Linked DNA regions of Canis lupus familiaris. The protein of the gene in region 4 purifies or fractionates together with the protein of the main gene of each other region. This does not show direct contact. Links are inferred from orthologs where the notes say so. Each region holds a gene or a part of one and is shown on either strand. Other genes may lie near its edges.

Region 1 (4,142 bases), on a different chromosome or scaffold from region 4:
AAAACAAAACACCCCAAAACAAATCCCAGTCAGGCCACTCAAGGCTCTGTAAGTCCCTGCCTGCAGTAAAGCTCAAGCTAGGAAGTGTGTGACAATGTCCTCTCCCTTGCCCGGCAGCAGCCCATGTCCTAAGTGTGACTCTACCTCCACTGCCCAGGACAGCAGGGCACGTGGCTGGGCCTAATGCTGCACCTCCAGAGAGCACGCAGCACCCTGCCTCAAAGCCTGTGGCCCTGGCGCCCCTGGTGGCCCAGGCCTAAGAGAAGGGAACATACCCCTCCATAAGCAGAAAATATTTTGAACTCTGGAGTGAACCCAACAATCTGGGTTTCTTTGGGTTTTGTTTTGTCTTTCTTTTTTTTTTTTTTTTTTTTTTTAAGATTTTATTTATTTATTCATGAGAGGCAGAGACACAGGCAGAGGGAGAAGCAGGCTCCTTGCCGGGAGCCCGACATGGGACTCGATCTTGGGTCCCCAGGATCAGGCACTGGGCTGAAGGCGGCACTAAACCACTGAGCCACCCAAACTGCCCCATTTCTTGTTTTCCTTAAGCTCTTCTGTCGAGTATGATCCACAGCTAGATCCACTGTGTGGAGGGAGGTGGGTCATCACTTCCCCTCTTTCCATAGGTTCCCTAACTTACCCCACTTGGCCTGGAAAGCCTTGCTCTTCTAGCTCACTTCATGTACCCTAACAGACAGGACCCCCTTTGCTCCTCTGAAGTCCCATCTCCTGGAAGTCACACAACTGGACTTAGAAAGAGGCCAAGCAGAATCTTACTCGAACTTAGCCAGGGTGAACTGGGTCTTCCCTCTCCCCTTGGATCCTCTACTGTCCCTTCCTGGAGGAGGAGGAAGAGGTTATGAAAAGCTGGTGGGACAGGAAGCTTGCAGAAGCAGAAGCTCAGTGCCTACCCTTTGGTCCCCAACCCTAGCAGCCTGGGGCTCCCCAGCCAGTCAGCTGGACCTTGCCACTGGCCCAAGGCCACTCCCTACATAGGGCTGTGGAACCCATTATCCAAGGGCTTTCCCCAGGCCACACTGCTCACAGCTTTTGAACAAAGGCAACTGGAGAGGCTCCTATCTCTTCTTAGACCAAAGGCCCAGAGAGACTCCAAGGCCTGTGCTCAGCTAGCCGGCCCAGGGGCTGTAATGACTCATGTCGAGACCCCTCAGCATCAGCTTGGACCCATGAATCCCCAAGTGGGAAAGCAAGATGGGAAAGATGGGAGTCACTGGCATTATCTCTGTCAGTACCCAGATATTTTGTTTTCTTTACAGAGAGGAGGGGGGATGAAGAGTAAGTGGGAAAAATCAGGGTCCCCAGTTAGGCGTCTCTTTAGAAAGTAAGGGCCCAGGGCTCTGAGGGGGGCGGCGAGGGAGATAAGCATATCCTATCCTATGAGGATCCATTTGTGGAGCCTCTACCTGGAGACCAGAGAGTCAACCCCAGCTTCCTTGGGAGATTAGCAAAGAAGCCAGTGCCAAACGCTGGGGCACACGGGTTGGTTGGGATATGACATTGCTAGAACCTAAAGGCTAAATAAGAGTGCAGAGAGAGTGCAAAAAAGGATGGGCACAATTCCCAAGCATTCTGGGGCAACCAGAAACAATGGACTGGAGAGGGGGGTACTGATGAGCCCCACCAGCAGGGTCAGGCCCTAAGGATGGAGTCTCTACCTCTCCTCGGCCTTTGAAGCTGCAACCTGAGACGCGCTCTCTTGGAAGCCAAACTCCAAAGGGGTCAGGACAGAACTCTTTGAAGCAACTCTCACAGACAGGCTCCTCCAGCCCCAGACCAGCAGGGCTCAGTGGAGCCTCTCTGCTCCTGCACACTAACCAACTCCTGGACACTAGGACACCAGGCAGAAAGCCAAAAGGAGAGTCGGCCCAGAACGGGCTGGGCTTTCCGCCTGCCTCAGGCCTGGCCACCACCAGCTCTGGTCGAACCCGGAGCCACCCCACGGGAGGGCTCCTGGGCCTGACCTGGAGCAGACCCTGCCCGGCACAGGCTGGGGTCCCCTTGCTCCGTTCTCCACCTCCCGGGCCGCGGGGAGCCAGGCCCTTCTTCCTCCCCATCAGCAGCTGGGAGCCATCTCAGACACGCTAGAACTCTGCCAGTTCCCAACTAGAAGAAAAAAAAAAAAAAAAAAAAGCCCAGCGCAGACTTGGAGTGGGACCAAGGCCAAGGCAGGGTAACCCTGGTTTCTCCGTGAGGGCCCTTTTGCAAAACTTTCCCAGCACTTCCCCGAGCCCCCTTCCCTAGGACCTACACTAGACTTCTCGGTCCGCTCGCCCACAGCTCCCGGGCTCCGGTTCCTCCACCTCTCACTCAGAATCCCCGTTCCAAGAAAACCTCCAGACCCTCCCAACCGCCCCCAACCCTCCAGCCCAGGCTCGCTCTGACCCTCTCCCCGAGCTGCCCCGCCGCCCGGCCTTGCCCTGCACCCCGTCCCGCGCACTCCGCACGCCGGGCCCCCGTGCCCCGCCCGGGGGCTGCCCCGCGGCCCCGACTCCAGCCCCCATCGCCCCATCGCCCCGGGCGACCTCGCGGCGCCACCCGCCCGCCCGGCCGCGCTGCTCACCTGGTACTGCGCCGCGGGGCCCGCGGGGCCCATGGGGCGGAAGGCGGCGGCCCCGGGGCCCCCCACGCCGCCAGCCGGCCCTGGCCCCCTGAGCGCCGGTCCCGGCAGCATGCCGGGTCCCGCGGGCGGAGGCGGCGCTCCCAGGGCCGCGGCAACGGCGCCGCCACCAGGACTCAGCGGAGGCAGCGGGAACCCGCCCGCGCCACGGCCCGACATCGCTCCGTCCCGTCCGGCGGTGTCGCGATCCGGGCTCCGGGCTCCGTGTCGAGTCCGCTCCGCGATCCGTGCTCCGGGACTTCCCGATCTAAATTCCGGGTTCTGGGGCTTGTTGATCCGGGTTCCGGGATTTCCCAATCCAAGTTCTCAAGTTCCTCCTCGCAGACCCGGTTTGGGGCAGGGCCGATCCTGATTCCGGTCCTGCCCGGGCAATTCCGGATCCGGGATCTGCTGCACGCCCGCCTGACGCTCGCGGCCTCCGGAGGTTTGGCCGCCGGAGTCCAGTTACCCGGAGGCGGCAACTAACTCCCAGCCCCGCCCAAACAAGCCCGGCGCTAGGCCCCGCCTAGAACCTGCAGTCCAATGCCACGGTGCCGCTCAAATCCCGCCCCTCGCGAGACCCGCCCCCAGCAAGCACCGCCCCTAACCGCCAGCCGCCCCCCCCAGCCACGCCCCCACGCCTCAGGCCCGCCCTTGACCGGAGGGGCGGAGGCGGAAAGCTGCGCAGGAAGCGCTGTGCAAGGCGCGGGGTCAGAGGTTGAAGGTCACCTAAGGGCTTCAACAGAGAATGCGTGGGGAGTTGCTGATCTCTGCCCCGTGGAGCCCGCCCCCCGAGGTTCCCAGTTACACTCCCTGAAAATAGTTGACTTAAGTCGCTTTTCTATGTTTTAGGCAGTAAAAATTCAGCTTAGAGCTGTTTCCTGAGGCAGAAGAGCCACCAGCTTCACTTTGTTTAATAGCCCATCCTGCTGGCTCAGAGCTGCCAAGGGACGTCAGCTGCCCCAGACCCAGTCCAGCTGTGTGACGGGCTGACTTGGCCCTGCGCCGAGCTCTTATCGCATATTTTTAACGTGGCTCTGCCTCACTTTAAGGAAGCCTAGTACTTTACTCCACAGGAAATGTTTCTAGGGGGAGGAATTTTGCCTTGTGAGAAAACTCCCTGCAGTTAAATAAGGTCTTTCTCCAGGATTTATAGTACTTAATTGGAAAAAAAATTCAATACCTTTTCAGAAACCACTATCCTGTGTCATAAGGTATTCAAAATAAAGCCCTTCAGCTGTGTTAGCCTACATGCTGGTCATCTGGGGTTTCCTCCCCCTGATACAGGCCAGTGCTTCTTAAACTTTAATAAGCACAAGAAACATCTGGGGCTTTTGGGCAGCCCGGGTGGCTCAGTGGTTTAGCGCTGCCTTCAGCCCAGGGCATGATCCTGGAGTTCTGGGATCGAGTCCCATTCGGGCTCCCTGCATGGAGCCTGCTTCTCCCTCTGCCTGTGTCTCTGTCTCTTTCTCTCTCTCATGAATAAATAAAATCTTAAAAAAAAAAAAAAAAAAAAGAAAGA
Region 2 (3,473 bases), on a different chromosome or scaffold from region 4:
CACTAGGGCCCTAGAGTGGAGCCTTAAGGGAACAGCAGGCAGAGGCACACAGAGGTCCTCAGCTAGGACCTGGCTGGATAGGGGCCCAAGAGGACCTGCCCCCAAGGTGGCTCAGGATCAGCAAGCCTACGGCGCCTGCGCACACCACGGGGAGAAGATAAGATGGCAGTGGCACGGCCTTGGTAGTACCTCCCTACCTAGAGCCCGGGGCGGGACTCTCAGATCCACGGAGGAAGCCCAATGATCCCAACCAGTACCCAGCCTGCTCAGACCAGCCTGCTCAGCCAGCGGGCTGACAGAGCAAGCTCTGGAGAACCTGAGGTCCACAGCGCAGAAACCTCGTTTTCCACCGTATCCCTAGTGCCTAGTACCGCAGCTGGCACACAGCAGGTGCTCAGTCAATATTTGTTAAATAAAATGAACAAACACCATGAGTGTGGCTAATGGTATTGGAGAAAGAGCTCGGGGAAAAGCTCTCCCTCAGTAGGTAGGGGGACCCATCCTTCAGAAGATTCTTTTATTAAAACTGGGTGACATCGATAAGGGGACAGTACAAAAAAAATTTTGGTCCATGAAAAAAACATAATAATTCCGTTAATAAAAAGTTATCTTCAACAGGGACACTATGTAGGAGTGCTGAACTTCCTTCTCCTGGTTCCAGCCCCAAGGACAGAGGTTGTCCAGTGTCTGTGGGGAGAACCTCTTAAGGGAGGGATGGGACAATGGTCAGAAGGGGAAGATGGAGAGAAAATTCTGTCCCCGGTGTGGAACAGGCAGGGTTATGGGGCTGGAGGATGTGCTCGCAGGAGCCTGAGGAGGGGGTGGGGAAGCAGGGGCTTTGTCAGTTCTGTGGGTTTAGAGCCCAGGCTGAACGGAGTCCCCCTCTGTGCCCAGCTGTCTCCCACCCTGCTATGTTGAGTCTGCGAGCCTGGGGTATGCTAACTTGGGGTGATACAACCTGGAAGAAGAATCTGAGGCTCTCCTGGAAAGATGCAAAACCATCTCAGTTCCAAGGGGCCAAGATCACAAGGTCCTGCTGCTACCTGAGGGGTCTGAAGCTTTGAGGGCAGGGGCTGGGGAGTCACAATCCTGTGAGGCAGGGAGAGGGAAGAGTCACAAACCCAACTCAGAGCTATTCGCCAGCCCTAGGCGCTTTCACTCCTCAGTGCCCTAGAAGTCACCAGTGGGTGTCAACTGGGCAGACAAGGGACAGGAAGACAGGGATGGCCCAGGGCTTTTACCCGTTTGATTTCAGGCCTGTTTCTCCACGAAGGGGTGGGGGTGGGGGGGCAGGGTGGAGTGAATAAATGAGTCACACCTCCAAGCAACAGCAGGAAGGAATAGCCTCTGCTGGCAATGACAATACCCCAGGTTAGATCCCTGGGGCTCTGACAGGGAAAGGCAAGATTCCCCCACCCAAATGCCCTGCGTTAGGACAGATAGATAGCAGGGGAGCCTAAAAAGAGCAGCTACAGGGAGTGTGCTGGGAAGGAGCAACAGTTAAAGAACAAACTCCAATACTGATGTGGACCCCCTACGAGGGAGTAAGAGAAGCACTGAGACAGCAGGCCAATCCAGAGGGCTGCGGACTGACCTGGGGCTCAGTGGGGCCCAAGAACCGGGGTTCCTTTAGTGCTAGAGGGCAAGAAGTAAAGGGAGAGTGTGCTCCAAACCTGTGGAGGGAAGGAAGGAAATTGGATTCTGTTATCCAGAGAGCCAAGATCAACTAGCTTATAGAGTGCCCCCAGGCCTGAGTCTCAGAGAAGGGACTAAAGCTCCCAACTCCTGGGTCTCTGAAGGGCAGGATCAGTGTAGCTGGTCCCCTTGAAGACCACCTGGCCTTAGGCCCAATCCATTCAATGCACTGGTTACCACTACAGGTTCTCTCTCTAACGCTACCTAGAGGTCCTATGTAGACCAGGGGAGGGTAGAGGCACATGGGAACTTTGTGGGGCAAAGGGAAGCTGGGGGACAGGAAGGGATGGGGTGGGAGAAGAGGGTGACAGGTGTCTTATGAGACAGAAATGTGAGACCCTCTTCTTTCTGATGTTGTCCTTGAACCAACAGCATCCCCTGGGAGGCCCCAAGCAAGGCCAAGGCAGGTGCTATGAGGCAGGTAGCACAGGGCCCAAATAAGAATCGATGGAGCCAGCTCAGCACTGTGGGAGAGGCCCTATGTATTTCGGATTCCCAGGGCTTGCTCTAATTCTTGTCGTCTCTGCTGCACCTAGAGAGAAAACAGTGGAGGGAGCAGAAGATGAGACAAGCCAGAAGCTGGCACCTCATACTACTGACATCCATCAGGGGTTCAGATCCCTGCCTTTTTGTCTATTTCCCACACCCAGGCACCTACCTTGGAGTAGAAGTATCGGCACACGGCCTCCTGAGCCCAAGGCTGGAAGTAAAACTCAGCTCGGCGTTCTTCCTCTGGGTTACCCACCACATCGGTCATGGTCTGGGGGACAGGGAAGGGGGGAGAAAGAGGAGAAGGACTTGTTTCCCTCCTTCATACCTGTTATGGATGAATTGTATCCCCCCAAAAGACGACAAAATCCTAACCCCCCAGTACCTGTGAATGTGACCTTATTTGGAAATAGGGTCTCTGCAGATGATCAAGTTAAGATGAGGTCATTAGGGTGGGCCTAATCCAACAGGACTGGTGTCCTTATAAAAAGGGGGAACTTGGACACAGAGACAGACATGCACAGAGGGAAGATGATGTGAAGACACCTGGAGAACACCATCTGCAAACCAAGGAATGCCTGAGGCTATCGCAAGCTGGGAGAGGGGCCTGGAAACACATTCTCCCTCCCAACACCCTGACTTCAGACTTCCAGCCTCCAGATAAAAATAAATTTCTCTTGTTAAGGCACTCAGTTCGTGGTACTTTACTACGGCAGCCCTCGCAAACTACTAACACAACGACCAAAGTCACCCCCTGCTATTAATGAGTCATTGCTCTCTTCTGGGATCCTTTCTGGCACCCCTTGTCCTGTGTTCCTCTGCTCAGCCTCCGTAATTACAGTCACCACAGGACAGGAGAAAACTGAGGGCACGTTTCACTCTTTCGGTACTCACTCCCACCTCCTTGCCTGAGCTTATGGTGCTCTCCTCTCTGAGGATTACCGCAAATCCGAAATTTGCCATGGAGCGTTCCCCGGCTATTCCAGCCTCACCCATCTCCGTCTTTGAATTATGTCTTTGGTAGTGGTGAGTTCCGATAATGTCTTACATACTTTACAACTTTTTTTTTTTTTTTTTTTTTTTGCTTTACAACTTTTTAAATTGTATCAGTCGGTTCCCTTCCCTCTAAAAGAAAATAACCTGGTCTGAAACAATCCTTTATTTTTTGCTAGTAACCTCCTTGCTATCAAAACTTTCCATTCTGTGCAAGTCCTCAGAATGCCTATTTACTAGAAGGGATGCTGCCCAGTTCATGAATCATTGAATAAAACCAATTAGATCTTCACATT
Region 3 (3,500 bases), on a different chromosome or scaffold from region 4:
AGAAAAACCCCAAACTTCTGAACAAGCAAGAACTGGCTCATGTCTTCCTGCTGGGGGCATTCTCTTTAATGGTACCATATTTACTTTGAAAGAAAAGCTGAGTATTACTCTTTCAAGGATACGCTGTCAAAACTGCAGTTTTGCAAAGGAAGAATGCAGGGATGTTGTAGTGTTCAAACATTAACTCTGTCAGTTTCTCTCTCTTTGCTCTAGTATTCCACTTGAAAAGGGGGAAAAAGAAATGCAAGTTATTTACTGTTTAAAAACTAAAATGTTGATTTATTTCAAGATTCAATATAGCACCACATTAACAAAGATTTAAGCATTAAAAACAGAATACCACATAAAATAATCTTCATAAGAATATATGTGTATTAAAAAAAAAAAGAATATATGTGTATTTATTTCTATTTATCTGTAAATAAATTCAGTAAATATAAATGAAAATTTATTTAATAAAAAGTATAATTATCTGTTGCTATGAATTCTACAAGTTACAGACTTCAAAGTACAAGAAAATCCCAATTCTTATAAACTATTATTAAATCTTAAGAATTAATCTGGTAATTTTAAACCACCAAATTCTCCTACTTAGAGTTGGTACACATAAAGAAAACTATAGGTTAAAAACAATAACAAAATATTGATAATTTATGATCGTTACGATAATATCGTTAATTTATGATTTATGATAATTTGGACTCTACTAAATTTATTTCACAAGAGTCCTGGGTCTAGTAATTTCCAGCCCTAATTCCATATTTGACTTCTCTCCTGGAAAACAGAATATAAAAGCAGATACACCTTGCCCCTGGGGCATACGGGACAATTCATAAACCCAAATGGGAAGTGGCCCAAGGAATTCAAGTGTTAAATAAATCCCTGGAAAAAATAAATAATCAAATTCCATTTAGGGTGCTTTGTTATTGTTCTTTGAATATTTTAACTACTGAAATAATAAAAATTGTAACAGGATATAAAAAATTAATCCTCCTTTCCCTAATTTTCAAAATTCAAAATATGCCTCTTTAAAGAAAAAAAGAACACAATCTTTGAATGAATTTAAAAAACAACTACAAAACTCAGAAAAGAAAGCCTGTCTTACCGGTGCTTCTGACATGAGAACAGGATGCAGGCTGGCTTCTGATTTGACATGCATTTTGTAGGTATGATCCAAAATAGCCTGGAAACTATCCCAGTCTTCAACTACAATATAAGATTAATACCTTGAAAACAATGCTTAGTTGAAGATGAACACAGAATCTTTTAAGAGATGGTTTCTATAGTTAAGCATTAACATAGAATCTACTTATTTTATAGATTTACTTCGTAATACAGTACTTTATATAGACATCATCTTTGTTGTCTATAAACACGGAGCCTCTTTTTGGTTCCTCCAGCCCCAACAGTATCACAACTCCTAGACCTGTCCCAAATATAATTACTGTATCTAATAGACCTAAAATGCCAAATAAATATTATTCAATAAGTACTTACTAGAAGCACAGTATGCAATTTGAATGGTAAGAAAAAATACAAAAGAATGGTATGATCTAGATTGGATATCAAAAAGCTTACAATCTACTTGAAAAAAGATTTAAAAACCTAAAAACCTAAAAAAAAAACCTTCAGGGAATAGTTCAATTTGGCTTCCACCTAAACATTCCATCGAAAATGCTTGCATAGTAAAAAAAAAAAAAAAAAAAAAAAAAAAAGAAAATGCTTGCATAAGTCACTAATGACCTGCTGACAGACAAATCCAGGGGAAACTTCACATTTGTAATATCCTTGACTCCTTCAACATCATCTGACACTACTGAACACTGAAGAGTTTACAAACTTGCTCTGCCACAGTCCAAAGAAAAAATGTCATTACCTGTACAACATACTCCCACAGGCATATGAGGATTTGTTTGTTTGGTCAATGAACTGTTAGTCACTCTAACACTTCCTTTCTTGTGTAAATCTCAATGTCACAGCTGAGAACAATGAAAATGAATCACTTCTATGCTCCAAGAACTTTTTCTTCCCTTAGCCTTCTCCTGAATATTATTTATCCTCCTACATCCCTAACTGTTCCTTCTCATTCTCCTTCATGGACACCCATTCTTCTCTTTGGATAAAAACAGAACAGGCTCTCACAAGGGACGCTATCCTCCACCTGTGTCTCATCTTCCACATGCTTTCTGGCTAATATAATACAACTCCATGTCTTAAAATTCTTCTCACCGACTTACTACAACAGCACCTATATTCAAATACTTTGCACACAGTAACTAAAAAAGACCTGCTTGCAAGGCTGACCCTTAGCTGGCATCTGAGAACTCTGATTGATAACTACACTACACTGATGAAACTTCCCCTAAATGATGAGAGTAGTTCACTGCACCTCAACTGTTTGTACAATGTGGTTTATGATGAACATCTTTCCCACTGAGAACCCTAGGTTTTAGTACATGCAAGGCACAGGGTACCCACATGATCACCCCCAGTAAAAATTGTCTCTAATGAACTACTCTGGTAGACAACACACATGTTACATCTCATTGCTGGAGGAATTAAGTACATTCTGCTTGACTCCACTGTGAAAAGACTCTAAGAAGTCTGCACTGCTTTCCTCTGGACTTCACTCCATGCCCTTTCTTTCCTGTTAATTTTGCTTTGTATCCCTACAGTAGAATAAATCTTAGCCATGAGTACAACTATATTCGGAGTCCTGTGAGTCCTTCTAGTGAATAACTGAACCATAAGAGTGACCTCCGGTATTACATTTGCCTTTTAAGACCATAAAACCTCCTCCTTCCCATTCTATCCTACCTCAATGCATGGTACCCAATCACCCCAATCAAAAATCTAGGAAAATTTTCATCTCTTTGATACCCCTCAAAGCCAACTCAGGATCTCCATCAGTAATAAAATGTGAACCCTCTTCATTTCTCATCTGAATTCTCACCTAACTAATCCTAGTATCTTCCTCTAATCTAGCCTATATAACACTGTTAGAATCCTCCCTCTAGTTGGAAAATATGAATATTTCATATCTCTGTTTAAATTCCTTTGGGGTATCCTTTCATTTGCCAGCTTAATACACCCCTAGTGTGGTGGTTTACAAGTCCTATCATGATTGCTCTCTGCCCACCTTTACTGCAACTGGTCCTAATACACCCACTGTTACAGGGATCCTTTTTTTTTTTTTTTTTTTTAAAGATTTTATTTATTCGTGAGAGACACACAGAGAGAGAAAGAGGCAGAGACACAGGCAGGGGGAGAAGCAGGCCCCATGCAGGGAGCCCGATGTGGGACTTGATCCCAGGTCCCCAGGGTCATGCCCTGGGCTGAAGGCGGCGCTAAACCGCTGAACCACCCGGGCTGCCCTGTTACAGGGATCCTTAACGGATGACCTTTCTAAACATGTAAGCTTCTTCTGCAGCTCCACCTATTTACATATGCTGGTTGCTCTGCTTTACTCAACCTTGACATTCAGACTAATCCTCATTTCT
Region 4 (4,050 bases):
TTGCTATTGGCCAGAGGAAGACACAGCAAGGACATTTAAGTGGGATCTTGATGGGTGAGTAGGATCTGATCGGGTAGACAAATGTGGAGATGGAGCACATTTTAGGCAGACAGACTATATGTTTGTGAGGACAGATTCTGAGGTTGGATTCCTCCGGTTCAAATCCTGACCTTGGGCAAGTGACTTAATTCCTCTGGACTTAGTTTCCCCACCTGCAAAGTGGGGATAATGATAGTAATTACCACATGAGACTGTTGTGAGGATGCAATGAGATAATACAGGTAAAGCCCTCAGTACAGTGTCTAGCACATAGAAAGCGCTCAATAAATGCCTGTTGTTTTTGTATTAGTAAAGGTACCCAAGTGCACGGTACAATCTAGACACAGCCCATAGGCCCATAGGCCCAAGTCATGGTATTCCTGGAAAGGAACAATGAGACCAACAGGGATAGTTCACGAAGGGCCGTGAGTGCCAAGTGGAGGAGTCAAAGGCCATAGGAGCCATTGAAGGCTTTGAAGCAGGAAAATGAGCCTGCCATATCTATGCTTTAGAAAAAGTTGCTCTGGCAGCTGTGTAGAGGTGACTAGGGAAGAGGAGACCCACAAGGAGGCTGGAGCCAGGCACAGGTAAGAGATGGCTCTTATAGGAAGGGAGACACATTTGCAAGGTGGTTCCGACCAGACAGGGGATTGACTATATGGAAGAAAGAGGAGCTAAGGCAAAATTATGCCCAAGATGCTGGCTCATTGGCCATGTGAGCTTAGGAGACTTCTCTGGGTTTCAGCTTCTCATCCACATGTGGGGATTATAACTTTCATAGGGTTATAGTGAGGATTAAATGAAATCAAACATGTTCAGTGCTTAGAATGGTATCTGGCACACAGAGCTCAATAAGTCTTAGCTATCATTATCACTTATTAATCACCCTCAGGAATATCACTATTATTCATTCCTTAACAAATATTTATTGAGTACATTCTATGTGTCCCACATTGTTCTGAGGATCTAGTAATGGACAGGAGCAACATGGGCCCAAAGTTCAGGAAGCCAACATGAGGTGGGAGTGGGGGAAGAAATTTGAGTAGTAAAAAATAAAATTTACATGAAAATCTCAGACAGTGATTAATTACATAAAGACCCAAAGGGAAAAAAAAAAAAGACCCAAAGAAGCCGGATGAATGAGACAGTTAGCTACTGGAGGTAGGATGGTGACTTTCTGCAGGAGTCAGGGAAGGCCTCTGGAAGGGGATAACAAGGAGGGGAGCAGGTGTAGGTAGGGGTAAGCTGATGGCTCCAACTCAGCCACCAGCCAACTCAGAAGAGAGGGCTGCAGGGAGGCACCTGGTCCTACCTCTCTCTTGGCCCAGCCGTGGGGGCTGAGCATCCTCTGGGACCCCTTCTGGTGGTCCAGCAGGTGACACAGGGCGGCTGGGCTGGGGGGTACCCCCAGGGCTGGGCTCGGTGCCCTTTTGCAGGGAGCCTTCCGAATGGAAACTCTGGTTACTGTTTTCATCTGTGGGAGCAAAAGCCGAGAGCATTGGGCCTGAGAGCCCCAATCTGCTCCCTCAATTCCCCATCCCACAACACCCCCCCAAATCCCAGGATCCCTACATACCATTGAGATCCAGCAGGATGAGGGGACCACCCCCTCGGGGACTGGTGCCCCTGCCCCGCCGCTCCCGGCCTCGGGATCTCTCTGTCCCGCCACCTGCCCTCCGTCGTTCCTGGGGGTTAGAGGGATAAGGGTCAGCTCCGGCTTTCCAGTTAGTGCTTGCAAAGCCCCCACTGTCCAAATAAGGAGACTGAGGCACAGAGCAGCAAAAGGCCCTACAGGAGGCTGGCACAGTGGATTAGGGCTTGAACTCAGGGGTCTGAAGCAGGAAAAAGGGAGAAGGGGGTGGAGTTGCTAATAATTGTTAACATCTGTCTTGGCTGCTGCATTTGAGGTCTCAGAGCAGGACTGGAGGTGGAGGCTGGGATTGGAAGGGGCTTGCCTGAGGGTGCACAGTGGGGGAGTTTGCTCACCTCCTCCTGGGGGTCCACCACTGGCACCCACTTGAAGATACGAAGGGAAGTGTCGCCCACAGTCACCCAGCGCTTCTCCCTGTGGGAGGGGGGGACTGGGTCAGAATTCTGAGGAGAGAGCCCCCCCCAGGAGCTGAACACATCTGGGGAGACCTGTAGACTTGGGGGTGCTGCGGTTTCGCTAATGGGGCATATGGTTAGAAGGAGAAAGAGAGTCCTGCAGACCCCAGGCCATAAACAGGGGTGCCTCTAAGGAGAGAGCACGGTTTGGGGCCATGGCTCTGCAGACCCCTGGGGTATACAAGGGAGCAAGGCTGAGGGCCTGGCTGGGGACCATAGCAATGAAGATCCTGGACATACTTGAGGGAGGAGTGTCAAAGCTTAAGGGGGCGGGGCATAAATGAGGGTACGGCTTGGGAACACGCTTTGTAGACCCTAGGGTGTAGCCAGAAGGGGGACAGAGCCCTGTAGCTCCGGGGGGCACACCTAACACCCTGCGGCCACGGCCGGCGAAGGGGAGGTTAGACGCATTTGGGGGAGGAGTGGTCCCGCCGGGTCCCATCCCTGGCCCCCGGGCAGCGCTCACCATCTCCGGACCTTCTCGATGGTCGCCATCACCTTCTTGATGTCATCTTTGGCCCGGCTCCGGGTCTCGGCCCGCACGGTCCGGCCGGCCATGCTGGCGGGACTGGGGCCGAGGCCGAGCCCGCGGCTGGGCCGCCTCCCGTCCGGCGGGCTCAGGCTCGGGCCAGACCCGGGCGCCGCTCTCTCGGCCTGCCGTCCCTCCGGGAGTTGGCCGCGCCCTCCCTCGCTCCCCAACGCCTCCGCGAGTCCCCGCCCCGTTTCCTGCTGCCGCGCCCCGCCCCGGCCCGTCCCCGGAGCGGCCCGGCGGTGCGGGCGGCCAAAGCCCAGGCCTGGAAGCCGGCCGGCCCCGCCCCGACCGGGCCCGCCCCCTCGGGGCGCCCCGACGCGCAGCGCCCCCTACCCGCCGCCAAGAGGGAGGGTTGGGGACAGCTTGGCGCCAGGGCGCGCGCCGCCGGGCCGGGGAGGTGCGTTCAGACCACGTGGGCGCGGGGAGGAGGAGGGGGCGCGAGAGGGTCACTCTCACGGCGAGCGTCTGTGGCGCGGGGGTGGCCCTCGTGCTGCGTGCAGAGCGTGTGTCCAGCCTCCCCTGGCTGTCGCTCCCGCCCTGTCCAGCTCTTCCTCAGCCATTCATTCAGCAGTCTATTCAGAGTGCCCATTTCTGGCCAGATGCTGCAAATATGAGTAGGTCTCCACCCACCAGAATGGCTAAAATGAGAACGACAGACCATATCAAGTGTAGACAAAGGAGTAGAGCAACCAGACCTCTCATGTTCCTGGGGTAGTGAAAATGGATAGAGATGCTTTGGAAAACGGGCAGGTTTTTTTTTTTAATTATTTATTTATTCATTCACAGAGACACAGAGAGAAAGAGAGAGGGGCAGAGAGACAAGCAGGCACCATGCAGAGAGCCTGACGTGGGACTCGATCTAGGGTCTTCAGGATCACGCCCTAGACTGCAGGCGGCGCTAAACAGCTGCACCACCGGGGCCACCCAAACTGGCAGTTTTCTAGAGAAGCTGAGAGAAATGCGTAGGTGTGAGCACCAAGTGATGTGTACTGGAATCTTCATAGCACCGTAGAGCACGGCCTCAAATTGGAAACAGCCCATCAGGAGTAGAGTGGAAAATGAATTGTAGCCTGTTCACACAGTGGACACAGCAGAGAGTGATATCCTGCTACACAGACAACAGGGACAAGTCTCATGAAAGAAATCAGATACAACAGTACGCATTATATGATTCCTTTTATATGAAATTCAAAACAAAACTAATTTGTGGTGTGAGAACTCAGGATAGTGGTCACTCTTGGGAGAGGCCAAAAGGGAGCTCTTGGACTGGTCACATTCAGTTTCTTAATCTGAATCTGGTGCTGATCCCCCCACCACCACCAGTACATTTACTCTGAATATTCACCGAACTGTACACTTTTCCCTATGTATAT
Region 5 (3,937 bases), on a different chromosome or scaffold from region 4:
GTTATGGTTTAAGTGCCCAGATACGTTTAGACGCCCAGTTGTTCATGGAATGCATGAATAAGCCCACTAATAAAAGTGGGATTACCAACAATGTGTTTATTTCATTCAGTTGCTGAGACTTATGAATATAAAAATGCAGTATCAAATGCAACAAAAAGTTTAGTTAATAGCCATCAATGTGTACACCGAGTGGACATATACATATTGCATCCTGGTTAGGTTCGCCATTCCAATACCACTCTGTGAGGCTGATAGGATTCTGTCTCTCAGGCATGAGGAATATACAATTCTGAATTTGAGGAAGCCCAAGAAATATACCCTGGCCTTAGGAAATCCTGAGAAATCAAACCTAACCTTCACTTTAAGGCCTGAAGAACACTGAGCCAACATTTGCCCAATGGCATCAACACTCTGGGACAAATCCCTCGGTCAGCCTCAGAAACAATTCCTCACACACCAAACAAACCCATTCAAGCCGACAAGGGCCCTCTTCAAATTGGGCCCGAAAAGGGACGCCTGGGATCCCTGGGTGGTGCAGCGGTTTGGCGCCTGCCTTTGGCCCGGGGCGCGATCCTGGAGACCCAGGATCGAATCCCGCATCGGGCTCCCGGTGCTTGGAGCCTGCTTCTCCCTCTGCCTGTGTCTCTGCCTCTCTCTCTCTCTCCGTGTGACTATCATGAATAAATAAATTAAAAAAAAAAAAAAAAAAAAGAAAAGAAAAGGGACGCCTGAGTGGCCCAGTCTCTGGCTCAGGGAATGATCCCACATGGGGCTCCCTGCAGGGAGCCTGCTTCTCCCTCTGCCTGTCTCTGCCTCTTTCTCTGAATAAATAAATTTTTAAAATCTTAAAAAAAAAAAAAACTTGGAAATTGAGCCCAAACAGATGCACAGAGTTTGGAGAGGTAGAAATGGCTATTTCTCTTTCTCCTCCCTAATATCCAAAGGAATATTCCTCATTTCTGCTAAAACCACATTGATAAACTAATAGCTATATGTCAATTATATCTCAATAAAAAAATCCAGACTGGGGGAGGGGGAAGGCCACATTAAGGTACACTGAATTTAAAACCCAAAGCTTTGGCTGAAGGGCACTGATAAAAATAATACTTTCGAAACATAAATATATTCAATTCCCTTAGCCACTTCTAGAAGCTCTGTTGCAGATGTTTAAAAAAAAAAAAAGTGACCAATTTATGTAAGAGAGCAATATTCTTGTCTACCTAATGTGCGGATGAGAAAAAATTGGCAATCCCAAACGTGACGGCAAAGTTTGAGGGCAAAAAAAGTCAAAACAGCTAAAAATATATCGTAAATAAAAATGTCTCTCACTTCCTAAAACTTCAGTAAGAAAGTCATTTCCGAGAGTACCACAGGGGAATGTCAAAAGAACCCAAGATCCTGCCCCTGCGTACCAATCTCTAGAAACAGACAAACTCCACTGCGCTGCACAACTCAAATGAATAGGTTTTCTAGACTACTTCATCTTTTCATTCACTGAACGAGAATTTACTAAGCAACTACTAAGGGTGAGGCAAGGAGTACCAGTCACGCGGGGGGTGGGGGGGATGAGGGGGATGGGGGGATGGGGGGTGGGCAATGCAGTGAAGAGGCGGGACAAGTTCCTTGCCCCAGTGCTATGGTTCTCAATGGGAGAAGTATGGAACTTGAAAAGGGTGTTCGGAAATCTGGGGCAGAGGAGGTATTTTGGGCTGTCTGCTTCATTACACCTTCTAAAAGAGTCATTCCTATGTATCTACCAGGGGAAGTTAAAAAACACTCGTTATAAATAAAAGGTTAAGTCACAACTTTCAATACCACTGACTCAACGGAACTTACCACCCAAGAGTTAAGAGAAACAGCTAAATGAGAAAAAAAAAAAAAAAATCTCACAAAGTGGTACAAAGAAAATCAAGGTGATGTGAAGTGCGCCAGTCTAGTATAAATGGGGCTCTCAGGGAAGGCCTCACTGAGAAACTCATTAGGTACCAGTGAACGTTCCTTCTTGTACTCACACTACCCAGAACTAAAAGTATAATAGGGTAAAAACTGTCGTGTTTGTTTTTTTTTTAATATCCGTGCTTCGTCAATACTATCATCCATTATATTGGCCTGCTGTTAACTTCCGAGTACAATCGTCTAGTCGTTCTTCACCGAGCCAACAACAGGTAGTAGAACCTTAGCTACCTCACTTGACTTTGAAGACGTCTCTAAACAAAACCTGAAGCTGCTCTTACGACACTAGCTCGGACAGTTTGTAATAATCACTGTTCGCACACCCAATGCAGCTAACAAAAGAGATTCACGCCCTCCGGTTTGCTGAGCTCGAGATGCTCCGGCACCCCGGGGTGAGCTGGGGGGGGACTCCCGCCCGCAGCGCCGCCCGCAGCGCGGGGGCTCCCAGAGGCCTGGCCCCAGGGGCCCGCCGGTGCAGCCCGGGGCGCGCGGGCGCGGAGAGCGGACGGCGGGGGCGTGGCGGGCCCGGCGCCTGCCTTTGTTGTCCCTCGTGGCGCGCGGGGGGGAGGGGCGGCCCGAGGCCCGCGAGGCCAGTAGCTGCGCCCGGCTCCCGTCGCGTGGCCTCCCGGCCCCCACGGGCGCGCGTACCCACCTTCTTGTAGTGCTTGCCCAGCCAGACCCGCACCGAATCCAGCTGGGACACCGTCTCCGGGCTCTCCCAAAACTTGCTGGCCGGGCCACCGTCCTTCCGCCGATAAACCGCCAGGCCCGCGGCCGCCGCCGCGCCTCCTGCGCCCGCGGCGCCCGCCGCCGCCCCCAGCCCGCCGCCGCCCGCCGCCGCGGCCATCGTCGCCGTCCGTCGTCCCCACCGCCCGGCCCGCCCCGGCCCTCGCGGCGTTCCCCGTTCGCACCCGCGCGCGCGCGCAGCCGCCGCTGCCGCCTCCCGGCCCCGCCCAGCCAACCCCCTTCCGGCGCGGAGGGCCGGCCACGCCCCTTCTCGGGACCCGGTCCCTAACTGAAGAGGGCACGCGCGCACGCATGCGCAGCACCGGCGCCGGGCGGAGTCGGGTCCTGCGCTTGCCCCCGCCTCTTCCGCCTGACGAGGCCGGCTGCGCGGTTTCTCCGCTGCTCGCTCTGGGCCTCTGCGGGGTCGTGCAGGACCAAAGTTCCTGCATCCCGTCAACCACTGCACGGGGATCCTGTGTCCTGCCCTGCCACCGCCGGAGAGGAAAGACCTGGAGTGAGAAGTTCCGAGGGGGGAGCCCGTTTAGGGTGTCGAGTGCTGGCCGAGGATGGGGAACCTGCGCCTGCTTCCCCTCTGCGCCCGACCTTCTGCAAGGCGTGGTCGCGTAGCCTTTGTAAGCATCCACCTGGGCGCACCGCCCGGAGCTGCTGCTGCAGCGCACACCTTCCTCCCCGTGGTGGCTCCAGCCACGCCAGCTCTTTACTGCCTCAGGGCCCTCGCACCAGCTGTTCCCGCAACCGGGACAGCTCTTCCCCTATGACTGACACTTTGGCGCTTTCAAATTCATAGTTTAAAGATGCTTCAGAAAACAAAAACAGGGATCCCTGGGTGGCGCAGCGGTTTGGCGCCTGCCTTTGGCCCAGGGCGCGATCCTGGAGACCCGGGATCGAGTCCCACGTCGGGCTCCCGGTGCATGGAGCCTGCTTCTCCCTCTGCCTTTGTCTCTGCTCGCCCCTCTCTCTCTCTCTCTCTCTGTGACTATCATAAATTAAAAAAAAACAAAAACAAACAACGAACCCTGACTGTACAGCCTTAAGCAGCTAATCATACTCAACATTCTCTGTGTAGCGCTCTCCCTACGACCTGGGATTTTTCTTATTTTCTTATCCACATCCATTCCGTGAGAACCTAATCGTGACTTGTTCACGGGTGTACTTTAAGTGCTGGAAACAGAGCCTGTTATCTAATAATGTTCCATAAATATTCGATGAATAAGTGAATGAATGACCTGTGGAGGAG
Region 6 (3,500 bases), on a different chromosome or scaffold from region 4:
TCTGCCAGCCTTGGGAAGGGTGAGGCAAAATGGATGGACAGATGGAGAGCTTGTTGCTGTATTTTTTTAATAAGAAAATGTTATTAAAAGCGTCTTCTGCCAAACTGTTTTTAGGTCTAGGGAAAATGGAGTAAAGAGAAGAATCTGGGACAGAGGGGGGGGTTTCCCAGAGGGACCCACCGCCTTCCCCCTGTCCTTCCTCCCCAGTTGCCAATGACACACAAGGCCGCTCTCAGATGCATGACCTTTAATCATTCCCCTGCCTCACCCGGCACGTGTCAGAAGAGTGATGGCAGAGCTTTGGGGACAGGGCCTGGGCCCAGAGGCCCACAGCGGTGGTCATTCACAGGGGCTCCTAGGTGTTGCGCACAACCAGCGACTGCTCCAACTCCTGCCTGCGCTGCTGGATCTTTAGAGAAATAAGAGCAGTAGCAGGGTTACGCTGTTGTTGGTGAGTGACAGGACAGTCCCACCCAGCCACCCTGGAAGAGCCTCTGGGAGCAGGGAGGGCTCCTCCGCGGCGAGGGGGTTGGTGGAGTGGCAAGGGCCACAGACGTGGCTGAGAAGGGAGGCTTCTCCTGGAGTGAGGGAGGGAAGGCCTGAGGTACACGGGCCCCTCCACACCTTGCAGTAGAAATAGCGGCTGACAGCTTCCTGGGACCAGGGCTGGTGGTAAAACTCAGCCCGGCGCTCCTCCTCAGGGTTGCCTGCCACATCTGTCATCACCTGGGAGGGAGCAGTGGGGTCAGCCCTGTGCCCAGACCCCCTCCAGCCCCCATGTAACAACATTTACTGTCTTCCCGATATGCTTGTCTTCCATCCAGTGCTCCCTGAGTCCCCTTCACCTTGAGGTCCCGGCTCTGGGAGCGGAGCAGGTCTTGGATGTAGCCTTTGGGGTCTCTGGAGAAGCTTAGCATGAAGTCCCTCTGGATCTTGAGCTGGTTTATGGACTCAATCGTCTCATGGATCTACAGGTAGAAAGACAGACACTTTCACCTGGCCATGGTGATGTGGGAGAGGAGGGGAAGGAGGAGGGGGGCGAGTGGGGGTTGGGATCTGCTGCCATCTGTTCTTTGAAGGGCTATCCCTCAGGTCGCTGCTGCCTCTGTAGTCCCGAGGAAGGGGGGATGGGCAGCACTCCCAAGTATCGAGGGAAGGGCCACCTGCCCCCTTCATCTCTCCATAGGCCTACGCTCTTGTCTGTTGTCTGTATTTTGTCATTTCTGGGTTAATGTCCCACTCCAGTTCTGGGCTCTGGCCCCACCTTACTGTCCAGAGCGCTGATCTCCTGCTGGTTGGCTGTGGACAGGAGGAAGCTGCTCATCTGTCCCTTCAGTGGCTCCTCCACCTCCACGTCAATATCATAGCACGCCGTCTTCTTCTGGTCCGACGGGTCCACGCTGCCAGGGAAGTCCAGCCCTTGGTATCCACACTGCTTCCACAGAGGCCAAGGGTCCCAGGGGCAGAGGTGGGGGGCAGGGGTGGGGTGGGGTGGGGTGGGAGGGATAGAGTGGGCAGGACTGCCATGATTCTCTGGTCAGAGGAGCAAGCTGGGGCCTCACCTGATGACGTGGTTGATGACAATTGGGTCAGGGGGCAGCAGCAGAGCTGTGAGGCGCTGGGGAATCTCAGAAAACTTCAGCCGTGGGCAATCAAAAATCTGAGGTGGGAGAGAAAGAGACCAGTCAGCCCTAGATCCTTCCATTGTGGGCGGCCACAAGATGCCAAGAGCAAATCTAACTCCTTAGTGCTGCTGGGGCTGGGACCAGGGTGTCTGTGGGCAGTAGAGAGTGGACCAGGAGGTGTGGGGGTTGTGGTGCAGGGGACCAAAGCACCCGCTCTGGGTCGGTGGCCACCCAGGTGCAAATCCTGCCTCTCCCATTAACACTGCAACCTTGGGCCAGTCCACTAGGCTCTCAGGCCTGTTGTAGCATGTCCGGTGTGGGGATAGTAACTACCAGGGTGGCTGGGAGAACTAAGTGGATGAGTACACATCAAATGCCTGCAGTGGTGCCTGGCATATGGCGAGTGCTCAATAAACCTCGACTGTTATTTTACTCCTCAAGTTTATCTGCCATATTTATTTTTAAAGCATTATTAATAATCTCTACTTTGGTAGAGTCTTGGACCCAGGACTAGAACCCAGGGATCCTAACTTCCAAGTGCCAAGAATATTACATTCCCCAAACTGTTGACCTTTTAAGGTTCTGGATCTTTCTAAACTGGCTTGTCTAAAATGGATGGTGGGCTGCAGCACGGAGCTACGCTGCAGTAGGGCCTACACTAGGACCCTGCTTACCATTTGTGATACCCAGGAATCTAGAAGGGGGGTGGTGCTGCCTTAGTCGAGGCACTTACCCTATTGGTACCTCTGCTTGCCCCCCACATCCCCAAGATCAGGAGAGAGGGTACCTGCTGGAAGTATTTGTCCCCATTGATGTATTCCTTATCATGCGAATCCTGCAGCCTGTTGGTCTTCACATACTGCCACAGGGCCTGCACAATGGCTGAGCGGCTCTGTGTGTGCAATCCCAACAGCCGAGCCAGGCGAGGATCCAGTTTGAATTGGGGAGGCTGAGGAAAGATGGCCATGGACATAAAGAGGGAGTGGGAAGAGCTCAGGGCCAGGCAGTGTGGGACTGGGGGAATGTGGTGACTGGGCTCCTGGGAAACCTGCTTCTGGAAATGAGGTAGGGAAAAGAATGGGGTCTCTTGGTGCATTTCTGTGAAGCCTAGGCCTGGCCTAAGGGAAGGGGTGGGGAGCTGGGGGGGCTAGGGGCCTCAGGTGGAGTCAGGGGGCAGGGCACAGACCTGGTAGTCCAGCATGAGAAGCAGTGTGCAGCGTACACTCAGGTCCCCTGGCCTCTTCACCTGGAACCCATCCGTCTCCTGGGTTGTGGGTGTTCGGTGCCACTGCCCAGGGAAGGAGAGCTGGGTCACCTCACAGGCCCACATGGGCTGCCAAGGCCAGGGACTCTAGGGTGGTCCCTGATCCAGATCTGTGCGGCTGATGGAACTGTGGTCTGGAAGGGTGGCAGTTCCCGGGCAAAAGAGGTCTGGGTCTTACCTCGACTAGGTGGTTGTCGGGGCCATAAAGGTCTTTGTCCAGTTCAATGACCAAACTCTTGAAGAAGGAAGAGAACTTCCGCTTCTGCTTGCTGGGCTGTGGGAGAGGGACAGGGACCGTGGGGGCAGGACAGGGACCGTGGGGGCAGGATGAGTCGGGAGTGGGTGGGGCTGGTTGGGTAGGGCAGCATGATTAGAAGCAGGCCTCTACACCCATACTGTCTCTTCAGGCCGCCCACCCCTGGTTGGGCTGACTCCCTAACCCATAGTGCAAACATCTCCTTCTGTCCTCAGCTCAGCCCCATACCCACCCCAGGACACCTGGAGAGACCTGGGCCAGGACGTACGTCATCCAGGAGCTTCCCCTCCACCCGCAGCTCCCAGGAGGCAATGCTGCCATCGGAATCTTCAGCATCAGGCTTCGCAGGGTTAAA
Region 7 (3,500 bases), on a different chromosome or scaffold from region 4:
TAGAGGTTTTTTCAAATCACTTTTGATATCCGGCATGTCCATTTGTTCCAAGTTCTGTTTTCCAGATGTTCCATTCTCACCTAATTCTAACGATGGCCCATTACTGATTAGTGAGCACTGATTAGCCTCACTTTGAATTTTCCCTGAGTTTGAAGGAGGTAGACTTGAGTCACTGTACTTTCTCCCATTTAAAAGACTTCCCACCTGCATTTCATTTTCCTTTGTATCCCCATTGCTGGTGTTCGTGGTTCCTCGCCGGCAGGACGGGTTCTCCATTACTTCAATTTTACGTTCGTGAACATGTAAACCTGTTGCTTCTTTTGCTTCCTCCTCCTTTTGGCAAATTATCTTATCACCTTTGAATGGGGGAGTAGCAGTAGTACAGGATGATTGTCCAGCTGGAGATGTCTGAGTGGCTGGAAGCGTTTGCACCTGAAGTCCAACTCCTGCCTGTGTCCCACTCATGGTAATTCCTGCTGGAGCAATGAGCTGAGTTGCATTTCCCTGACTCACAGTTGCAGTTGCAAAACTTGTATTTGGCACAACTGTTATGGTTACCTGGTTGCCAGAAGTCCCTTGGAAAATGGTTGCTGGGCTGTTTGAAATCAGTGGGCCTGGTAATATTTGTAAGTTCGAGATAGGTACAGTTTGCACTCCGCCTGTGGGTGGCATTGCACTTTGTACCAACTGAACATTTTGCTGCCCAACCAACAGCTGCTGAGCTGAAGACTGCCCCTGCACTCCAAAACCTGCTGCTTGGTTATTGGCCACCTGGTATACCACCTGAGGGCTGGGAGCTCTCGCGTTATTAGGGGGAGGAATCTGTGGAGCTGGGAGAATTAGCTTACCACCCGGTGTCGAAGGGCCACGCTTTGGAAGCAGCAACTGTTTTATCAGACTTGACTCACCAGAAGCAGGCTGACCAACGCCTGCATTCGCTTGCTGTGGCTGAACTTGCATCTGTACTTGTTGGGGCTGCTGAACCTGTACTTGTACCTGTTGCGGTGAGGGTGCTGGTGAATGCTGCTGCTGTTGCTGCCTTTTCACAGATAGCATCTGACTGACGGTAGGAGGTGGTCCCTGTGATTGAGGGGTGGAAGATGATGACATGGCAGTAGGAACTTGGTTATTAGTAGCTGGGACAGGTGATGGTGAGGAAGATGGAGTTATGTTTGGTTGCCCAGTTAACTGAACTGTCTGACCAGCTGGAAGAGCTGCTGGATTAGCAAGAACAATTTGGTGAATGGCTGGTGCATAAGTCTGACCTTGTTGAGCTGGCTGGCTTACAATCACTACACTCTGTTGGGTTGGCTGCTGTGGTTGTTGAATGGGCTGTTGTACCACTGTTGATGAAACTTGCTGAGAAGGGAGAGGTTTTGGTGCAATGTTCTGAAACCCTACCCTTGAGGGTTGTGGACTTGGGACACCAGCAATGGTAACCATTTGTCCCGTAGCTACCTGAAAATTCTGTACTGAAGTTGCTGAGACAATATTGGATGCAGAAGTTGTTACATACTGTGAAGGTGCTATGATAACAGTGTCTTGCGGCTGGCTACCAGCTGACGTCTGTTGAGATGAAGTTTGCACAGGTTGGGGTGATGTGGTGATTAACTGTTGACCCTGTGATACTGAAGAAGTACATGCTGGTATGTTCTGTACTCTGCCAAATATATGACTCTGTGGGACAGCTTGTTGAATTACTGTAACAGGAGTGCCGGAAGGTATCTGTCCTGGTACCACTGTGTGTAATGGAGACTGTTGTGGAATTACAGATGGATGATGAAGCAATGTCTGGGAATTTACAACCGTAACAGGTTGTGGCCCTGTACTGTGATTCTGAACCACAGAACTCTGAGCAGCTCCACCTCCCACAGCAATGCTAACAGGAACTGCTGTCTGGGATATAGAATTCTGGATTACTGTAGCCTTAACAACTTCACAAGGAATTGGAGCTTTATTTTGAATGACAGTCACTGGAGCATTTTGCTGCTGGTGGGTATGAACTGCAGGATTTGGTGGAATTCTGGAAACAGTCTGTGCCACAGTATGAACACCTTGTACTGGAAAAGACATTTGTGTTGCAGTCAAATTTGAAGACTGGTTGGTAACAGAAGTCCTCTGAAAATGGTTTCCTACAGTTTGTGGTCCATGAGGGATTCCTGAAAATATGAGGGAAAGGTCAAAATTCATAAGGAAAGGACTGAAAAGCTGAATGTAGGCATTGCTTTACTTAATACAAAAGAAAAATCCTTTTAAGAAATTAACATTTAACACCTCTGCATCATATGAATATGATAAAAGTAACAGAATAAGCAAAATGCAACTGGAAAAACAAGGAAAAATTATTCATTTTAAATTTATATAATATACTGTTTCATTTTGTTTGTTAAGTTAGTAATACTTAAAAACTCAAAAATTAATACCTGCAGGTGAAGGACTTGGAGATACATCAGGAACAGAATCAACACGAACAACAGGAGTAGAAACTGGTTGCTGCTGATAGTACATCTGAATGGGAAGTGGTATAGCCCTCCTTTTTACTCCTACTACATGAATATGTGCCTGCCCGTTGCTACTGGAATCCTCCACTCTCTTCACTGTATGATTTGGAAAGACCGTTCTGTAAAGTACACACATAACTTAGTTTTATAAACTAGCAAACGAGCAAAAAACATTTCAAACAATGTTTACATGAACAGTAGCAGGATAGTTACTGCTACTAATACGAACCAGTATGATTCATATAGATCTATTCTGTAAGGGTGGGAAGCAAAGAAAAAATATAAAAGATCAATTTCCCAATTTTTAAAATCATTATTAACATTGTTGGGTTTTAAATAATTCTATACCATATCTAATGAACAAAGAAGCTGCATCTAGGCAATGTCTATTTTATGAACTTTTGCAAAATATCAAAAGCCTTGATATTTGAAGATAAGAGTATTAGTTGTAGACTATTATTCAAGATAAAAAGGGCAAAAGTCATGTCTCTAACATATTTCAGTGGGTAGAAAGAAGTTTTTCCCTTCTCTTTCTTTGATAAGCCTCATAATGTTTAAACACAAACATGAGGTTTGATTTCCAAAAATCTCCTTGTATTTAAATTTCCATCTTATTACAACATAGCCTATATGAAATTTCAAGTAGTAGAAATATTTAAAAGTAGATAGATAGTTGGTATTTTCCCCAAAGAGCAAGAGATATTCTAGGTGATTCAAATTAACTTTGTTTAAAGTTAATAACTAAACATCCTACCTAAGACATTTATAAAATCCAGTTGAAGTTAGGATTCCACCACGAGCTAATTTACTGCACGTTGAGAGGTACTCAGAATACATCTCTGCTCGAGAGACAGAACAGTCTGGATTTACTTCAAAATGAGCATTTAGCCTAAAAAGGAGAAAAATAAATGGCATTACGCAATATATTACAGTAGAGTTCATATTTAAATATAGTAAAACTACTTGAAGGCAATGTATCATAAGGTAATATTTATGCCT

The links.
Region 1: the proteins of BCL7C (region 4) and SMARCD2 purify together in Homo sapiens (affinity purification with mass spectrometry; 3 studies listed by BioGRID and IntAct, counting the BioPlex papers as one, with this or other methods). This does not show direct contact. The link is inferred for Canis lupus familiaris from reciprocal best matches to the Homo sapiens genes BCL7C and SMARCD2.
Region 2: the proteins of BCL7C (region 4) and SMARCD1 purify together in Homo sapiens (affinity purification with mass spectrometry; 5 studies listed by BioGRID and IntAct, counting the BioPlex papers as one, with this or other methods). This does not show direct contact. The link is inferred for Canis lupus familiaris from reciprocal best matches to the Homo sapiens genes BCL7C and SMARCD1.
Region 3: the proteins of BCL7C (region 4) and ACTL6A purify together in Homo sapiens (affinity purification with mass spectrometry; 3 studies listed by BioGRID and IntAct, counting the BioPlex papers as one, with this or other methods). This does not show direct contact. The link is inferred for Canis lupus familiaris from reciprocal best matches to the Homo sapiens genes BCL7C and ACTL6A.
Region 5: the proteins of BCL7C (region 4) and SMARCC1 purify together in Homo sapiens (affinity purification with mass spectrometry; 4 studies listed by BioGRID and IntAct, counting the BioPlex papers as one, with this or other methods). This does not show direct contact. The link is inferred for Canis lupus familiaris from reciprocal best matches to the Homo sapiens genes BCL7C and SMARCC1.
Region 6: the proteins of BCL7C (region 4) and SMARCD3 purify together in Homo sapiens (affinity purification with mass spectrometry; 3 studies listed by BioGRID and IntAct, counting the BioPlex papers as one, with this or other methods). This does not show direct contact. The link is inferred for Canis lupus familiaris from reciprocal best matches to the Homo sapiens genes BCL7C and SMARCD3.
Region 7: the proteins of BCL7C (region 4) and ARID2 purify together in Homo sapiens (affinity purification with mass spectrometry; 3 studies listed by BioGRID and IntAct, counting the BioPlex papers as one, with this or other methods). This does not show direct contact. The link is inferred for Canis lupus familiaris from reciprocal best matches to the Homo sapiens genes BCL7C and ARID2.

The regions. Positions count from the first base shown.
Region 1 is NC_049230.1:15,127,868-15,132,009, reverse strand, and holds the start of SMARCD2 (SWI/SNF-related matrix-associated actin-dependent regulator of chromatin subfamily D member 2), read right to left. Parts: upstream 2,801-4,142; coding exon 2,585-2,800; intron 128-2,584; exon of another isoform or gene 1-127. UniProt on the Homo sapiens protein: Involved in transcriptional activation and repression of select genes by chromatin remodeling (alteration of DNA-nucleosome topology).
Region 2 is NC_049248.1:42,025,276-42,028,748, reverse strand, and holds the end of SMARCD1 (SWI/SNF-related matrix-associated actin-dependent regulator of chromatin subfamily D member 1), read right to left. Parts: intron 2,873-3,473; exon of another isoform or gene 2,456-2,872; coding exon 2,354-2,455; exon of another isoform or gene 2,232-2,353; intron 2,228-2,231; coding exon 2,174-2,227; 3' UTR 501-2,173; downstream 1-500. UniProt on the Homo sapiens protein: Involved in transcriptional activation and repression of select genes by chromatin remodeling (alteration of DNA-nucleosome topology).
Region 3 is NC_049255.1:13,142,908-13,146,407, reverse strand, and holds part of ACTL6A (actin-like protein 6A), read right to left. Parts: intron 1,207-3,500; coding exon 1,106-1,206; intron 221-1,105; coding exon 123-220; intron 1-122.
Region 4 is NC_049227.1:17,466,817-17,470,866, reverse strand, and holds the start of BCL7C (B-cell CLL/lymphoma 7 protein family member C), read right to left. Parts: upstream 2,801-4,050; 5' UTR 2,704-2,800; coding exon 2,612-2,703; intron 2,105-2,611; coding exon 2,026-2,104; intron 1,725-2,025; coding exon 1,616-1,724; intron 1,514-1,615; coding exon 1,352-1,513; intron 55-1,351; exon of another isoform or gene 1-54. UniProt on the Homo sapiens protein: May play an anti-apoptotic role.
Region 5 is NC_049241.1:41,570,875-41,574,811, reverse strand, and holds the start of SMARCC1 (SWI/SNF complex subunit SMARCC1), read right to left. Parts: upstream 2,801-3,937; coding exon 2,606-2,800; intron 1-2,605. UniProt on the Homo sapiens protein: Involved in transcriptional activation and repression of select genes by chromatin remodeling (alteration of DNA-nucleosome topology).
Region 6 is NC_049237.1:16,005,955-16,009,454, forward strand, and holds the end of SMARCD3 (SWI/SNF-related matrix-associated actin-dependent regulator of chromatin subfamily D member 3), read right to left. Parts: coding exon 3,414-3,500; intron 3,164-3,413; coding exon 3,068-3,163; intron 2,914-3,067; coding exon 2,812-2,913; intron 2,575-2,811; coding exon 2,413-2,574; intron 1,661-2,412; coding exon 1,563-1,660; intron 1,401-1,562; coding exon 1,265-1,400; intron 969-1,264; coding exon 846-968; intron 727-845; coding exon 625-726; intron 410-624; coding exon 356-409; 3' UTR 51-355; downstream 1-50. UniProt on the Homo sapiens protein: Involved in transcriptional activation and repression of select genes by chromatin remodeling (alteration of DNA-nucleosome topology).
Region 7 is NC_049248.1:38,086,938-38,090,437, reverse strand, and holds part of ARID2 (AT-rich interactive domain-containing protein 2), read right to left. Parts: intron 3,391-3,500; coding exon 3,256-3,390; intron 2,621-3,255; coding exon 2,424-2,620; intron 2,160-2,423; coding exon 1-2,159. UniProt on the Homo sapiens protein: Involved in transcriptional activation and repression of select genes by chromatin remodeling (alteration of DNA-nucleosome topology). Required for the stability of the SWI/SNF chromatin remodeling complex SWI/SNF-B (PBAF).